2 linked regions of the Oryctolagus cuniculus genome follow. The protein of the gene in region 1 binds, or shares a complex with, the protein of each later gene. Links are inferred from orthologs where the notes say so. Each region holds a gene or a part of one and is shown in the gene's direction. Other genes may lie near its edges.

Region 1 (3,500 bases):
TGCACATCCTCTTGTGTAATTTTAAATCATCCCTACATTACTTAGAATACCTAATATGATGTAAATGCTATGTAGATAGTTGTCATTTTTTGACTAGAAAATAATGAGCAGTACAGATGTGCTTTCTTTTTGAATATTTTCCATCCTTGATTGGTTAAGTCTGTGGGTACAGACCTTGTGCATATAGAGGGCTGAGTATAGTTATGAATTTTTTTGTAAGATTTATTTATTTATTTGAAAGGCAGTTACAGAGAGGAAAAGGCAGAGAGATAAAGAGAGATCTTCTGTGCTCTGGTTCACTCCCCAGATGGCCGCAACAGCTGGAGCTGGCCATCAGGAGCCAGGAGCTTCTTCCAGGTTTCCCACGCAGGTGCAGGGGCCCAAGGACTTGGGCCATCTTCTACTGCATTCCCAGGCCATAGCAAAGAGCTGGGTTGGAAGTGAAGCAGCCGAGACTCACTGACGCCTACATGGGATGCTGGTGCTGCATGCCAGGGCTTTAACGTGTTGTGCCACAGCAGCAGCCCCTGTTATGAAGTTTTATGTGTTTTGTTTGCTTTTAAAAATAGATTAGAAACTTGATATAGCTAGCTATTTGATAATCAGGTAAGAGTTCCAAAGTCATAGGAATGAAACCAGGATTAAGACTCACATATTGCATAGTACAAAATGATTAATACTGCTTTTCTCATGCCATATACTATTAGTACTTTCTATGTTTTTTTCAAGGCTATTAGTGATGTGCATATTTGTAGTAGAATTTATTCATCAAAATCAGATTATAATTATACTTGGATCTCAAGAGACCACAGATGGGGCCTATGCTGTGGCTCACTTGGTTAATCCTCCACCTGCGGTGCTGGCATCCTATATGGGCACCAGGTTCTAGTCCCGGTTGCTCCGCTTCCAGTCCAGCTCTCTGCTGTGGCCTGGGAGAGCAGTGGAGGATGGTCCAGGTGCTTGGGCCCTGCACCCCATGGGAGACCCGGAAGATGCTCCTGGCTCCTGGCTTCAGATCGGTGCAGCTCTGGCCGTCACGGCCATCTGGGGGAGTGAACCAGCAGATGGAAGACTTTTCTCTCTGTAACTGTCTTTCAAGTAAATAAAATAAATCTTTGAAAAAAAGAGACCACAGATTATTTTCACAGTATAGCATGTTTTTATAATCAGTCAGAAAGAGGGTATAGTTAGGCATTTGAGGCCCTGATTTTTTTTCTTTTTTGCAAGTGTTAATATGGAGGCCTTTGAATCATCTTTATTGTCTTTTCTCTTTTTACAGTAAAAAAAAAAATCATGATTTCTAGGGTATATTACATACCTTTGTTGACTGCAGGAATAAGCACTATTATTGAGCCTCTTAATCTCAGCCATCTGTCTTGCAAATGTAGGGATTAAGTTAAAAGTGTAAAATTGTCACCCAGAGTTTTTCTGAAATACTTGCCTAATCTTTGTTGCATACTGATAACTAAAGACAATGTGACACTATCTGGAGAACTGATGAACTTTGATTTTTTTTTCCTGGTATTCTATCCCTCAGGCATGTGCAGATCAGCAATGAATCGGCAATTGACTTCTACAGGAAATTTGGCTTTGAGATTATTGAGACAAAGAAGAACTACTATAAGAGGATAGAGCCAGCAGATGCTCACGTGCTACAGAAAAACCTCAAAGTCCCTTCTGGTCAGAATGCAGATGTGCAAAAGACAGACAACTGAACAAATTACAAATGAACTTTCTTGCACTTGCTTGTCGCCAAATAAAAGAAAGGCCCATTGATTCCCCCCCCCCCCTTTCCTTTAAAGCTTTCTTCCTTCCTTGTTCTTGTTTCTCCCCCTTTCTTTCCTTTCTTCTAGAAGTTTCATTCTTTCAAGGACTTTCAAAAATAATCATGTTTGGATTGTTTTAGTTCTCTTATTTTTTGTGAGGTGGTTTGATTGAAGGAAAGAGAAGGTAGATATGTATAGTTTCATAGTTAAGATATATGGTCCCAAAAATTTGGGTGTCATAATTTCAAATTTTTTAGCTGATTTTTTTTTTAATGTCCTGCTTTCACATTGAAGGTCAGAGCCTACAAAACCTTTCATTTCAAAAGACAAAAAGCAGCAGCAATATCTTGTTCTCCAATTCATAGACAAGTTTAGTGTGTTTGTGGTACTTTGAATTTTTAAAGACTATTTGGGGGATTAATCCCTTGACATTGCCTTCACTCCACCTTTAGTCCTTCCTTCTGAGCACTCTCAGGAGTTGAACCATTGTTATCCTTGTTAGAAGTACTAAGTTTATTTTGGTTTCTAAAGCAATTTATTTCTTCTCTTGTTGGTGGATGGGGCAGTTTGGGTAGGTAGTGTTATACTTTGGTTTAAGTATTTGAATTAAACTGCTTTTTTGTTAATGAGTGGGCTTGTTAGCAGGTTTTTTTTCCTGCTGTTGATTGTTACTAGTGGCATTAACTTTGAGAGTTGGGCTGGTGAGATTAATTTTTCTTTAATATCCCAGCTAGAGATATGGCCTTTAACTGACCTAAAGAAGTTTGTTGTGATTTAAGTTTTTTCTCCTTTTCTTTTTCTTCAGTAAATCCAGTAATAGTTTCGTATTAAAAATGGAATTGATGTCCTTATAGGTCAATGCCCTTAAGTAATCCTTAAGCAGATGTTTCTTCTTGGACATATTAAAAAATAACCTAAAAAGGAAGCATAGATGTACTTGTGGCACAATAAATGCATTTAATGTTGACTAATGCAGGCTGTTAAAAGTGTGACCATCAATCATTTGATAATACAGGTAAGAATATCTAGACAGTATTTTTGAGAATAACATAGCTGTGATATACCTTATCTGTTGGAGAACATCTCAGATTTGCTTAGACTCTGTGCCTATGTATTTTGAGTTGAAGAATTTTGGGTAAGGGGAATTGTGAAACATAGTGCTTCTATTCTTGGAAAAGTAGAAGTACAAAGTGTTAATAATGCAGATATCACTGTGACCTCTTCTACTGATATGACTGGTTTATGCCAGATAGTTTTCTGGCACTTAGTGAGTGACTTTGACAGATTGAGTTTTGTGAGATAGGAGATATCTGAAATATTCATGTTTTCCTCCCATAGTCCCATCTCCAATATTTAGAACAGATTGCCAGTACTGATGACCCCAAAAATGCCCTCATTAAACTTTAAAACAGTGTACAGGGCTTGGACTTAAGTGGAATATTGATTCATAATACTTATCCTGTTTTGTAAATGCTGGTATGAGGTTTCATCTCCAGATATGTTAAATGACAATTATTATGCAAAGTGCTTATGTACACTTTATAATGTTAAGTTTTTGTTTGAGAATGTGAAAGTACAAAGTACAGTAGACTTTGCCAGACTTAATTGAGTGCCAAGAATAATACAGAAAAGAAAGATAATTGATGAGTGAGTTTATAGGGTTCTAAACTCCAGATAGTTAAATGTAGAAAAGACCATACTGGTTTTTAGGGTATCAGTTTCTTAAACGTTTAA
Region 2 (2,818 bases), on another chromosome or scaffold:
AACAGGCGGCTACAGGTAGAGTCTGTTAGAGTCGGCCAGCCAGGGTGGCAGCAGCTGGAACTAGGAACAGCCCCACAGCAGGACACCTGGGGACAGAGCAGATACAGGCTGCAAGGTGGAGACTGCTGAGGAAGGGGGTAGATTAATTTATGTGTGAGGGGAACCCTTAAGGTTGAATTCTGAAATCCCCCCGTTTTTCCAAGATCTTTGAGACTCCTTAGACAAACATCTGGGGCTGGGAAGAGGGAGTTTACTGAGGCAAAAAAAACAGGCATTACAAGAGGAAAAGCCTGTCATTTTTTATTGGCCTCCACAGGTTTTCTTTCTCCGCTTCAGCCACCCTTACACTTAACAGTGTTTCATATAGCCCTTGTTTAAGGAAGCTTTCCTTGTCTGTCTTGCCAAGCACCCTCTCACCTGGGAGAAGTGGGTTTTCACTGTGACATTGCCGACTCCGCTGCGCTGCTGCGCCAGGTCCAGGGAGGTGCTGGGGCCTTTGTCAGCCCTTGGACCCATCGTCTTTGTCCTTGGGATTAGGCCCAGGTCCTCCAGATGAAAAGAAGGTAGATGAGAAAGTAGCAGCAGTTTGTCTTCATCCTATTGGCCTGCTGCTTAGCTGGGGCTGAACTCCCGGTCTAAGGCAGCATGGGGACATCAGGAAAAGAACACTGCTCTCCAGGATGTGGTAAATGCAAATACCCCTGTGAAAGTGCTTCCTTGTCAGGGCCTCGCCCACTTAGGCAGTTCTCCCCAGATTAGGGAGCCTCCTGCGGATTAGCATTCTTAATTGGTTTAGGATTAGACCTCATCCAACCTGGGCAAACGGTTCCCTGGGGCAAGGGAGGAGGAGAGGAACTGTTTCTGCGCTAAGGGAGAAAGACGAAAAGCTATCGGGTTGGGCTGGTTTGGAGCGGTGATGCGTTACATCTGGGGTGAAGCCTTGCTAAAAACACTGCTACACGTCTGAAAGGAAGTCTGAGAAGGGAAACGCCTTCCCCGCTGAAGCTTCTAGAACGGCAGCATAAAGAAGGTGTGGCCCAGCGCCAGCCCCGCCTCCCCTGGGCGGAAGTCGCTGGTTAGGTACCGGAAGCCGTGAGGCGTGGCTGGTCGGCGGCGCGGTGGAGTAGATATGGCGACCGAGGGGGACGTGGAGCTGGAATTAGAGACTGAGACCAGCGGCCCGGAGAGGCCTCCTGAGAAGCCACGCAAGCATGACAGTGGAGCGGCGGACCTGGAGCGGGTCACCGACTATGCGGAAGAGAAGGAGATCCAGAGTTCCAATTTGGAGACGGTGAGGTTGGCCGCGAGTGCGTCTGGGCGGGCTGAGAGCAGAGGGGCTTCTGAGCCGGTAGCTGGAAGCCCGCGCAGACGGGCGTCCCGATCCCGATGGCGGGAGGAGCCAGTAGGGTAGAGGATAGTGCCAGGGGAAGCGGAGGTCACCGGAGCCCGCCTCTTGCCAAGGGGAGCTTGACGGATACTAATCTTAGGTGGAGAAGTAACACAATTGAATAAAACGTGGTGCTTGGATCCCAATTGCGCTGGCCATCAAGCATACATCCTGTGTCGCTTGTTACTGGGTTTTTAAAAAGGTCACTGGGGAGTGTGGGTAGCGAAGTAGTAACAAGACCTCTTTCCCATAGGCCATGTCAGTCATTGGAGACAGACGGTCCCGGGAGCAGAAGGCTAAACAAGAGCGGTAAGTGTTGAGTGCACAGCCGGGCAGCATTACCAGTTCCGTCCTCAGACATTAAAGACCATTGCTATGTCTTTGTACCGTGCTTCAAGTCTACCACCAATTCCTGCAGACCTAGAGATTTTTTGTTAATGGAAGAAAGGTGTCCTGGCCAACACCTGCCTGCCAGAAGCCTCTTAGAGGGAAGGAATGGCAGGAATGGTGGGAGTCATTTTATATTGTCACCCTGTTTTTCAAGATCCATTTATCTGCGGATTCCAGCTGATAATTCTCCCTACGAGTTTATGGTGGAAGTAGAGACTAACACACTTAAATATTTGCAGGGAGAAGGAACTGGCTAAAGTCACAATCAAGAAGGAAGATTTGGAGCTGATAGTGAGTAGTAATGCCTAACTAGTTTAGGGCAGGGAAGGTGGTTCTGCCTAATTTGGGCTGTTTCCTGCAACTAGTAGAAATCGGTCAGCATGTCTGGTGGCACATTAATGCCAGGGAGGAGACGTGGGTAACATGATCTATCCTTTTCCGGCAGATGACCGAGATGGAGATCTCTCGAGCAGCAGCAGAACGGAGCTTGCGGGAACACATGGGCAATGTGGTCGAGGCTCTTATTGCCCTAACCAACTGATCAGTGCTTTCTTACCCATACTTACTGGCTTAATTTATTGCAATAAAAATGTTTTGGTCTTTATTGCTGTTTTTATCATCTTGGATCAAGTGCATTGTACATCACATTTTGTTGTGGCAAACATATATATGTTGAAATATAAATGAATTTAATGACGCTCCTCCTTCCCCACAACCCAAGAATTGGCGTAGAAGAGTTCCTTGTGTTCAGATGCACATAGTAGGTGGCTGGCCAGTCCCATTTATCTGACTAGCAAGCACACAGCGATTACTGTACTCCATGGCATGTGTCTCCAGGACAGCTTATTATTAATAGCTGAAAGGCCAGCACCAGCCTTGTAGCCATTGTGTAGATACAGGTTACCAACTCAGTTCACAGGCCAGTTTAAGTTAGAATTTAGGTATCCCAGGCAGAACCATGGAAAGAAGAGGGGCAGAAAGGCCTGACACAGAATTGATCTATGGGAGATTTGAATTCTGAACTGTAACACATTCTACATT

The links. Proteins that work in one complex are often made in the same cells at the same time.
Region 2: NAA50 (region 1) and HYPK share a complex: the UniProt entries of both Homo sapiens proteins name them as parts of the N-terminal acetyltransferase E (NatE)/HYPK complex. The link is inferred for Oryctolagus cuniculus from reciprocal best matches to the Homo sapiens genes NAA50 and HYPK.

What each region holds. Positions count from the first base shown.
Region 1 is NC_091435.1:69,729,790-69,733,289, reverse strand, and holds part of NAA50 (N-alpha-acetyltransferase 50), read left to right. Parts: intron 1-1,537; coding exon 1,538-1,715; 3' UTR 1,716-3,500. UniProt on the Homo sapiens protein: N-alpha-acetyltransferase that acetylates the N-terminus of proteins that retain their initiating methionine. Has a broad substrate specificity: able to acetylate the initiator methionine of most peptides, except for those with a proline in second position.
Region 2 is NC_091443.1:66,686,291-66,689,108, forward strand, and holds HYPK (huntingtin-interacting protein K), read left to right. Parts: upstream 1-1,129; coding exon 1,130-1,291; intron 1,292-1,640; coding exon 1,641-1,696; intron 1,697-2,016; coding exon 2,017-2,068; intron 2,069-2,222; coding exon 2,223-2,318; downstream 2,319-2,818. Other genes in the region: SERINC4 (serine incorporator 4), read right to left, coding at 1-275. UniProt on the Homo sapiens protein: Component of several N-terminal acetyltransferase complexes. Inhibits the N-terminal acetylation activity of the N-terminal acetyltransferase NAA10-NAA15 complex (also called the NatA complex).